3 linked regions of the Xenopus tropicalis genome follow. The protein of the gene in region 3 interacts with the protein of the main gene of each other region in a pairwise test. Links are inferred from orthologs where the notes say so. Each region holds a gene or a part of one and is shown on either strand. Other genes may lie near its edges.

What was found.
Region 1: the proteins of hax1 (region 3) and sav1 interact in binary tests that used the Homo sapiens proteins (3 or more experiments, as listed by UniProt). The link is inferred for Xenopus tropicalis from reciprocal best matches to the Homo sapiens genes HAX1 and SAV1.
Region 2: the proteins of hax1 (region 3) and htt interact in binary tests that used the Homo sapiens proteins (3 or more experiments, as listed by UniProt). The link is inferred for Xenopus tropicalis from reciprocal best matches to the Homo sapiens genes HAX1 and HTT.

The regions. Positions count from the first base shown.
Region 1 is NC_030684.2:93,071,965-93,075,620, forward strand, and holds part of sav1 (protein salvador homolog 1), read right to left. Parts: intron 2,742-3,656; coding exon 2,589-2,741; intron 1-2,588. UniProt on the Homo sapiens protein: Regulator of STK3/MST2 and STK4/MST1 in the Hippo signaling pathway which plays a pivotal role in organ size control and tumor suppression by restricting proliferation and promoting apoptosis.
Region 2 is NC_030677.2:22,808,893-22,812,548, reverse strand, and holds part of htt (huntingtin), read right to left. Parts: intron 3,625-3,656; coding exon 3,494-3,624; intron 2,541-3,493; coding exon 2,411-2,540; intron 2,242-2,410; coding exon 2,086-2,241; intron 1,953-2,085; coding exon 1,762-1,952; intron 644-1,761; coding exon 529-643; intron 1-528.
Region 3 is NC_030684.2:143,228,326-143,231,981, forward strand, and holds part of hax1 (HCLS1-associated protein X-1), read right to left. Parts: intron 3,340-3,656; coding exon 3,176-3,339; intron 1,182-3,175; coding exon 1,133-1,181; intron 971-1,132; coding exon 855-970; intron 726-854; coding exon 602-725; intron 519-601; coding exon 415-518; 3' UTR 1-414. UniProt on the Homo sapiens protein: Recruits the Arp2/3 complex to the cell cortex and regulates reorganization of the cortical actin cytoskeleton via its interaction with KCNC3 and the Arp2/3 complex. Slows down the rate of inactivation of KCNC3 channels. Promotes GNA13-mediated cell migration.

The sequences.
Region 1 (3,656 bases), about 50 Mb from region 3:
TTGTTGTTTTTTGCACTTACTATTTTTTTTTTTTTTTTTGTCATTGTTTTGTTCATTTATAGTAAGTTACAGTGGGGCCAATGTTGTGTATCAGTGCCAGTGTTATAGTGCCAGGGCCTGAATATCTGCCATCAGTACCCACTGCTTCTCATGGCATATAATGTGCTGGTTTTGTAACTACGGACTGTGTCTCACTGTATATAATGGGGAGTCAGTACCCACTGCCTTTCTTGCTATAAAACTAACATAAACACATCTAAAGGGGTGGTTCACTTTTAAGTTAACCTTTAGTATGTTATAAAATGGCCTATTCCTAGCAACTTTGCAATTGGTCTTCCTAATTAATTTTTTTGAATAATTTGCCTTTCTCTTCTGCCTCTATACAGATTTCAAATGGGGGCCAAAAAATATTGCTCTGCGAGGCTACAATTTTATTATTATTATAATTTTGTATTACTTATTTTTCCAAGTAGGCCCCTTAACTATTCATATTCCCATCTCTTGTTTAAATCACTACCTGGTTGCTAGGGTAAATAAGACCCTAGCAACCAGATAGCTGCTGAAATACCAAATGGAGAGCTGCTGAACAAAAAGCTAAATAACTGAAAAACCATTAAAAATAAAAGTGAATTCGAATGCGAACTACCCCTTTAAGCTAACTGATCCCAAACACAAATGTTTGCAGATCCCCTAACAGAAGTGCGCGTATGAATACTTTTACTACTAATACTAAACATTTTAGGGTAAAAAAAAAAAAGCACCCCCCACCCGCACTTTTGTACAGTATCCCTGGGAGTCAGTGGGAACGGCAAGAGGTAGTTGGGAGGTTAACTTTTTACGTCAGCAGTGAATCCACTAAGTGTCACATTAGCTATAGGTCAGTCTGTGTATGGGCCATATTTAGCCTCCCCTAGTATCATCCTGCAAAAAAAAAAAATATATATATATATTTATCTGTTGCAGGATGATGCTAGCTTACTTGCCCCCCCTTGGAAAATTTTCTGCGGACGCCCATGGATCCACACCTGACAGTGCCAACATCTACCATAGGAATAGAGCACTTTCCTTTAATCTGAATGGGGAGCACATGGTGGGACGGGGAGGGCATCAAAACTGGATAGCACATTTTGATCTGGCAATCACAGATAGAGTGTAATATAGTGTAATATAGTTATAGTTGCAAAATGTATACAATCTGATCATCTATATGTGTGGTACAATATCACAAACTGGGGAAAGGGTAGAAACTGGGTCTGCAATGAAGAACAAGGAATGCAAAATAATAAATATAGGAAAAGTAATATGCAAAACAGATATATGATAAGCGAATAATGAAGAAGGGAAGCGAATGAGCATAAAATGTACAATGTGTATTACCCTGTGACTCAGAGCAAACAGCTGTACCATGATCACTCTTCTCAATGACAACCAGCAATAGACATTATTAGTACATCACGTTCCCGGAGCAGCTACTATGTTCCACAGTAAATGTCATAGCTGGCATACTTCTAGCTGCAGCATAGTTACAACCCTATGGAAACCATGAAGGGACTTCCTGCATTGTGTCTCACACTGAGGCTAGTAAATGAACATGCATGGAAAACATTCAAAGAACACTGAAATACTTGTTCCACGTACATTAATGTTCATACTACAATGGTCACTAAAGTTACCCATTTTTGACAGCTCATTCAGGTGGGCTTACATAAGAAAAGGTGCATAAACACTATCTGAAAAATAAATATAATTTTTGTCTTACACGCACCTGAGTAAAAGGAATCCATAATAATCTGTCTGTGTTTGCTGGGATCAGCTACACACACCCCTTAGGCTCACAGTGTAACACAACCCCTCCTTAACCTTGTTCCATTGTGAAGTAATGGATTCTGGGAGAATTTGTGCACTGCCTACTATGTAAAGCAGAACAGTAGTCAGTTCAATTCCAGGTCTGTTAATCCCTTATCAGGCTTGTAACACTGTTTTAGGAGCCAAAGCCAGGAGTGCAGACAATATAAATAATCAGATACACTCTGCTATATTGTTAAAACCAATAAAAAAAACAAAAACTTTAATAAATGTACATATTTTTGTGTAAAAAATCCCATACAAACGAACAGAGTGGAAAATGTCACTGTGACAAGACCTAATTTTACTTTTTCATAAATATGCCCCTTAAGATGGCCATACACGCATGAATATATTTGTACAAAACTCGGATTGTGTGTGGGCCCCCTACAATTCATTTCCAGGAAGTCACTTTCATACGATTGGTGTCTGCCAACTATTTCATGTTCAAAATATCCTCCGATTTGTTATTTTTAGGGCTTTATCCTACAATTTCAGATTGAATGTTAGTTTTAGATTGTTGCATTTAAACCTGATTGATTTTCAAAAATTAGACTAAAATCTGAGTGGCAAAACATATTTGCCTGTGAAGTGTATATTTTACAACACAAAATGGCCTATGCTGACCTTGACTACCACAGTAGCTGTGTACATGAACACATAAACATGGATGTTATAATCAAGACATGATTTTTAAAAGGAAAACAATTCTTGAAGATAAAAAAAAAAAAACAACAACTCACTTTACAGGAGCCCTTGCATAAACCTGAAGCCAGTCAGGAATCTCTGCTGTGTGGTAAGGATTAGCTGGGACAAGCAAGGCCTGAGTTTCCACTTGCTGAGGCTGATAAGTTACTGGAGGAGGGAGAGGGGGCGGCTGGTCATATCGGGGAACACTGCAAGAAAACACAGAGTTTGAGATGGTACACACAGATGTACACACGTTTGAGATGTTACACACAGATGTACACACGTTTGAGATGTTACACACAGATTTAAACTTACATGGGATACCAAATATAAAATTCAAGTAAATGTGTACAAATTGCAATTTGGTTTCATTTTTTGCTCTTTAAAAATATTAGTTATTTTATTCTATGTATGACTGAGAGCAAGCAGTATTAGTACCCACTGCATTCTGCTCTCTCTTCCCTAAAGATTTTACAGCTGAGCTCATAGCCAGAGAGAGAATATAATTCTAGTATAGCTTTCTACTGGCTGTAAATTGGCTCCTGTCTGAAATGCTGCATGAACTCTTAAGCTGGATTTTAGACATCGTACGACGAACACTTGGATATCGATTGTACATTTTAATGCAACTATCTAAACTAACAGTCAGATTTAAATTGCAGGATTAACTTTTGAAAAGTAACAAATCAGATGCTGTTCTGGCCATTGACAGACAACAATCGTAGCAATTGCAATAGTATTGACAACAGCACATCAGGAAAAGAAAAAAATAATATTGAAAGAAGAATATTGTCATATAGGCCAATATATGCAAAAATATCATTATCCGACAAAAATTTTCTAACCTGTCCTATTGACTAAATGACTAATTAACATGATACAAAAATCATGGGGATGATTATCTGGAGTCCACACACGGTCCGGAAATCGTTTGAAACTTCATATGATCATATCGGTGCTTGTATGGGCATTTTACTCACACACCTCAGGTAAAGCTTAAACTAGTAAAGCAATGCAAATAGGCTTGCATCTCACTGTTAAGGGCTCTGGCACACGAGGCAACTCATAATGAAAGAAAACTTTCAAATATACATTGAAAACCTTTATTAGTTATAAGTTGT
Region 2 (3,656 bases), on a different chromosome or scaffold from region 3:
AATTTGCAATTGGTCTTCATTTTTTGTGGTATTTCGGTTATTTAACCTTCTGTTCAGAAGCTCTTTACTTTGATATTGCGGCACCTATATGGTTGCTAGGGTTCTATCCTAGCAACCAGGCAGTGGTTTGAATGAGAGACTGTAATATGAATATTAAACAGGAAGTTAAGGTACAAAAAAGTAAGAATAACTATAAAATTGTAACCTTACAGAGCAATAGTTTTATTTTTTGGCTGCTGGGGTCAGTGAGTCCAATTTGAAGATGGAAAGAATCAGAAGGAGAAGAAAAATAATTCAAAACAAAATAACGAAGACCAATTACAAAGTTGCTAGGAATAGGATATTCTATAACAAACTAAAAATTAACCTAAAGGTGAACCAGCCCTTTAACATCAGTAAGAACAATAACATCAGGTGTAATAAAGGACTCGTGGGTTTTGTCCCTTTGCATACGCCTTACAATTGCACAAAGCCCCCTGTAGTGTTCAGCCTGGGTCCCTGTATTGCATACGATCGCCTCAAGCCCACCTGTATGATTCCTGACGTGAACTCTGGTCCTACATCCAGGGGATAGTTCTCAATTAAGTAGAATGCCGTGGCGCACATAACGAGGACGTGCTGCTGGTTATGCAGATTCACACAGCTGTACAAATAACAACACACACTGTATTATATAGACATAAAGCAATAAATACACATTGGCTGAATTTCCACCGTAGCAGTAAAGTAAAGCAACCAGTCAGATGGGTGCTTTCATTATTCACCTTGCAGAAGAATGATCAAACCAAAATGCTGATTGGTTGCCACAGGTTACCCTACTATGAAATGAATCAAGCAAATCATGAACCTTCAAGGTGCTTATCACATAGTGACTGGCATCTCAAAGATTTAGTTTCCCCCACCTTTTTGACACAGAAACTAAATCCAGCACTTCCTTACTAGACTGCAGGGCAAAGGCAGGTTTGTTTGGTGCTTGGGCCAAATGCTGACACCAGGAGTTCAGGACAAGTAAATGGGGCAATGGAAAACACATATGAAGCTTGGAAATGTGCAGTGGCTTCGGCACAGGGTTTAGTTCTTATTGGTGAAAAGTGAAGCAGAAATAAATGGAGATGAACAGAACTAGTCCTGCACAGACAGTATGTCACACTGGCCAGGCGGCACATAGCCCAACGGCCCGGGCACTTAGGGGAACGTTTACTAAGCAATTTTGAGCAAAAGTTGATTTTTTCCACTTCTAGGTATTTCAAAGTTTTCCGGAAATTTTTCCCATAATTCGTTTTAGTGTTTAGTTAACACTTTTTTGTCAAAATAAATTTGCAGGTTTGATCTGTTGAGCACCACTGAGTTTTTCTATTTCACCCAGTTTCAAGGAGAAGTCAACCCCTCATTGTTTTCTATTTCACACGTTTTCAAGGGGAAGTTAACCCCCTCACTGCTTTCTATTTTACCCACTTTTAAGTGAAACACAAGAATGAGTGCTAGTGCTCCTAAAATGGCTACTGGAGCAATTCCTGTTTGGGAAAAATAAAAAGATTATTTATGGAAATGAATGTCCTTTACTAAAATCGTGTTTTAACAATAGTTGCGGCTTGAAAAATTCAGGATTGTAAACTCAAAATTTTCATATGAATGATTCAAGCATTATCGTGACATTTTATAAATACAATAATGATTGAGTTTAATTCGAATTTATACCATGTCGAGTTTATATGACTTTCAAGGCCGGAAAAAACGAATTTTGGTAAATCAACCCCTTACTGTGCTATGCCTCTCAGGTTGGAAAGCAGATAGTCGCTGATGACGGGTATGAGCTGCTTTGCGGTGTCATCGAGCAGGTCACACTCTAGGATGTACAGTATCCCATGTAGTGCTCCGATACGGCTCGGCATATGGGTGCTTCTTAGTGTTGTCTCTATTATCCGGCTCACTGGCTCTGCAATAACTTTGTCCTGAGGGGAAATAACAGTGAATGTGACTATTTCCATTCCGGAATACGCAGTACTGATATTACTCACACAGTAGCGAATATGTTGTGTGCATGTAAGAGCAAAGCTTTCAGGGGTTGCTATGCGATTCCCTTACCATTCCCAGCACAGCGGCAGCTTTGCAGATGGCCGGCACCAGATACTGGTTGAGAATTTCATCTTCCGACGGGTGTTGTTTCTGCAGCTCTGTCAGTGCTGTGTACATCATCTCAAACTGGTTCCTCTCAGTAAATAAATCAGACACCGTCAGGAGCTGAAGGCAAGCAAACATAGCAAGATGAATGCCAGGCTTCATACAATAAGGAAAAAGAGACTATAGCTATGTTTAAACCTCTCACAGCACTGAGAGTAGATATGAGAGTGCATTGACCGGTGCTGCCATAGAGCATACTTTGTATTCATGTGCAATGGCAAATACTCACCGATCTCACCACCTCACTGATCAGAATGGCTGGAGTCTTTTTCCCTGTGTTGGTGGGAAGGATCCACTGGCTGTACAGCTCTAACAGGAACTGGGAGCAAGAGTGTATGTCTACACCGGCCCGGTGTTTCCTGCAATGCAAGCGGAACCAAACTGATACTTTGCTTCTTTCCCAACTGACAAAAATAAAGCAGATTCGTATATCTAGTATCAAAAATACAGAATCCATGAATGGAAACACTCTTTAAAGGGGTGGTTCAACTTTAAGTTAACTTTTAATATGTTATAGAATGTCCTATTCCTAGCAACTTTGAAACTGGTCTTCATTATTTATAGTATTTATTTGCCTTTCTCCTCTGACTCTGAATGGGGGGTCGGTGACCCCAGCAGCCAAAAACTATTGCTCCGAGAGGCTACAGTTTTATTGTTACTTTTAATTACTTATCCTTCAATATAGGCCCTCCTCTATTTATATTCCCAGCAAAAAATAAACTGGAGAGCGGCTAAAGAAAACTCTAAATAACTGGAAAACCACAACAAATAAAAAATAATGACCAATTGCAAATTGTCTTAGAATATCAATGTCTGCATCACTCTATGGGGCACATTTACGAAAGCACGAACGCTCGAGCGTTCATGCGAACGATCCGAGCGTATTTTTGCCGATTTTTTTCGGGCGTCCGCACGCCTTTTTCGTACGGCGCACGACTTTTTCGTACGGCGCACGACTTTTTCGTACGGCGCACGACTTTTTCGTACGGCGCACTACTTTTTCGTACGGCGCACGACTTTTTCGGCCGTTTGTATGAAAAAATCGGAAAGGTTTACCGCTGTTTACAATTGTTCGGTACAAAAATTTCGTGATTTTCGGATCGCCAATACAATATTATCGTGACTAATACGATTTTTTCGTAAGCATTTTCGTGATATTTGCGATCTTCCAAAATTTTCGTTTCCAATATGATTTTTTCCCATTCGTGATTCGGATTCGTGGATTAGTAAATGTGCCCCTAAAAGTTAATTTAAAGCTGAACTACCCCTTTAAAAGATAAGGAAAGGCTTTGAAGTGTTTTTGAAAGAAGACCTGGAGTTTATTGGAGACATGGGTGGTGAGGAAGGAGTAGGGTTTTCATTCTCATCTTCCTCGTCTTCATCAAGCTCTTCTTGCCTCAGCGGGGTGATGTTATTCCCCAGCCAGACGGAATGAATGGAGACCTGGAAGGTGCAAGAGGGCTTATTATCAGCGG
Region 3 (3,656 bases):
TGGGTGTTTCTGGGGTACCAGCCTGATGCAGGACCCCTGGGACTGTGGGGAGAAACACAATGGTGCAACATGGCAGCTCCTACGCACTGTAGATTTATGATTTTCAGAAGCAGAAAAGCAATATAAATTAGGAGAAATAAAAGAGTGCCTGGTTCTTGTGGCCTGAACCAATAAGCTGGGGGGGGTATATTTATTTTTTTGCCCAGACCGTGACATATAGAGGTGACAGCAGGCAGTCGGGAAGCGCTATAATTATATATCAGACAGGGAAATTGGCAGCAGGGGGCCCATCTGCAGATCAGGGTCCCGGGGTTTATTGGGGTCCTTGTAACCCCCAGGAGAGTAGAAACGCACACACTGGATATGGGGGTGCCCCGGGGGGTGCCAGGATCGTGGGTACCGGTGATGGAGTCTCTATCGCTGGGAAAACCATCTCTGTAGGATCCGGCTGAGCACAGTCTGTGAGTCGGACAGATCCGGAGGGGAGCGAGGATCCGAGGGCCTGCGTACGTGATCCCCTGAGGGGGCAGAGGGATTGCGACTCATGAGCCGAGCTATTACTTTCCCACAATGGTGCTCACTGCCTGCATTTGGTACTTACCAACGTTTGGCCCCTGGGGGCCCTCGCGTGTCTCGCTGCTGAGGATCTCGTCCCCTCTCTGCACAGTCACCGTGGTGCTCGTGTTCCCCTGGCTGTCTCGCACAGTGCGTCTCTCTTCTATCGTCTGTCACGGGGGGCAGAGGAGAAACATGGGGCACATAAACAATCTGGGGTACGCGCAGGGGTCCTATAGCCACACCCCTTGGCATACACACAAACACTTGATTGGTGCCTTCCCTCAGCGCCAACTTACCCCGTCGGGTCTCACCAACTTAGACACAGAAACACTTTGGAAAAAGGAAGAGGCTCTCGGCTCCGACGGTCTCAGAATCGTGTCCAAACCCCGAGAGGAGACTTCCGAGTCCAGATCTACACAGGGGGGGGGGGCAATACCGGGCATTAGGGCAGGATTTAGGGGACGGGATGGAGGAAGAGCAAAGGGCAGGAAAAGAGACTCAACTCACCCAGTGATCTCCTACATTCTCCCCTGCCCCCCAGTACTGCATGATGCACCCCCAAACATGGACTCACCTCGGTCTTGCTTGGCGCCACCTTGTGGGATTTCAACCTCCCCACCATCCTGCCGGCACAAACGGACACAGTCACAAACAGAATAACAGCCCAACGCAGCGCCACCTAGTGACACCAAGTGGAGCCTGATCGCTATACTTCTAGAACAGTGCTGTCCAACTTCTGTGGTACCGAGGGCTGGAATTTTTCCAACCTACGTGGTGGAGGGCCAATAATGGAAGCCAGTTTTGACCACTCCCCTTTTTGAAACCGCACCCATGTTATCACATGACCATAACCATATTAATGTTTGTAGTACAGCAAAAACCTTCCATACTCTGCCTGCCCTACCCTGTCTGTGTGTGCCATACTCTGCCTGCCCTACCCTGCCTGTGTGTGCGCCATACTCTGCCTGCCCTACCCTGCCTGTGTGTGCGCCATACTCTGCCCTGCCCTACCCCTGCCTGTGTGTGCGCCATACTCTGCCTGCCCTACCCTGCCTGTGTGTGCGCCATACTCTGCCTGCCCTACCCTGCCTGTGTGTGCGCCATACTCTGCCTGCCCTACCCTGCCTGTGGTGTGCGCCATACTCTGCCTGCCCTACCCTGCCTGTGTGTGCGCCATACTCTGCCTGCCCTACCCTGCCTGTGTGTGCGCCATACTCTGCCTGCCCTACCCTGCCTGTGTGTGCGCCATACTCTGCCTGCCCTACCCTGCCTGTGTGTGCGCCATACTCTGCCTGCCCTACCCTGCCTGTGTGTGCGCCATACTCTGCCTGCCCTACCCTGCCTGTGTGTGCGCCATACTCTGCCTGCCCTACCCTGCCTGTGTGTGCGCCATACTCTGCCTGCCCTACCCTGCCTGTGTGTGCGCCATACTCTGCCCCTGCCTGTGCGCCATACTCTGCCTGTGTGTGCGCCATACTCTGCCTGTGTGTGCGCCATACTCTGCCTGTGTGTGCGCCATACTCTGCCTGTGTGTGCGCCATACTCTGCCTGTGTGTGCGCCATACTCTGCCTGTGTGTGCGCCATACTCTGCCTGTGTGTGCGCCATACTCTGCCTGTGTGTGCGCCATACTCTGCCTGTGTGTGCGCCATACTCTGCCTGTGTGTGCGCCATACTCTGCCTGTGTGTGCGCCATACTCTGCCTGTGTGTGCGCCATACTCTGCCTGTGTGTGCGCCATACTCTGCCTGTGTGTGCGCCATACTCTGCCTGTGTGTGCGCCATACTCTGCCTGTGTGTGCGCCATACTCTGCCTGTGTGTGCGCCATACTCTGCCTGTGTGCGCCATACTCTGCCTGTGTGCGCCATACTCTGCCTGTGTGCGCCATACTCTGCCTGCCCTACCCTGCCTGTGTGTGCCATACTCTGCCTTCCCTACCCTGCCTGTGTGTGCCATACTCTGCCTGCCCTATGCTGCCTGTGTGTCATACTCTGCCTGCCCTACCCTGCCTGTGTGTGCCATACTCTGCCTTCCCTACCCTGCCTGTGTGTGCCATACTCTGCCTGCCCTATGCTGCCTGTGTGTCATACTCTGCCTGCCCTACCCTGCCTGTGTGTGCCATACTCTGTCTGCCCTACCCTGCCTGTGTGTATGGCACAGTGTAGTGACACAATGCTGGCACTGCTCCTACAGTCTGCACAATAACTATATATTAAAAAAAAATTTAATTGCAGTACCACCTCAGTATATGTTCTTTTTGTAGTGTGCAGGGTTTATTTGTGGGTTTCTACTGCTCCTGAGGTGTGAACAGGGGAACAATGTGGGTGATTACAGCCTGAGCCTGAGGTGTGAACACTGCAGGGGGGAACAATGCAGAGATTAAAAGGTGGAACAACACAGGGGATTACATGTTTAAACAATGCAGAGGGATTACAGCCTGAATCTGAGGTGAGAACCATGCAGGGGGGGCAGTTAATCTCAGTACTGATACCATTTAAAGCTTATACAAGGGTAAACCATCAAAGCAGCCAGACAGGTGGGGGGCCACACAGAGGGGGGTCAGTTGGACAGCACTGTTCTAGAACATTCTAGTCATAAATGGGAAAATCAGAACCTACCCAGCTGTATCTGCCCCATGGTGTTGCCCTTGGAAGTCTGGGAGGGGCCTGGGTGCTGGGGCTTCTGGGGAGGTGCGAGTCTGGGGATTTCAGCATGAAGTCCCGGAGCGACTTTGCCCCAAAACCCTCTGGTCTCCGCAATGGGGGATCCGCTCCCGGCAGCTCTAACGGGAAAGAATAAAGGGGAAATAAGAACGTTACTCCTAGTTACCCAGCTGTGAGCAGATCTATAGGAATATAATAAAGGGGAAATAAGAACATGTTACTCCTAGTTACCCAGCTGTAAGCAGATCTATAGGAATATAATAAAGGGGAAATAAGAACGTTACTCCTAGTTACCCAGCTGTAAGCAGATCTATAGGAATATAATAAAGGGGAAATAAGAACATGTTACTCCTAGTTACCCAGCTGTGAGCAGATCTATAGGAATATAATAAAGGGGAAATAAGAACATGATGTTACTCCTAGTTATCCAGCTGTG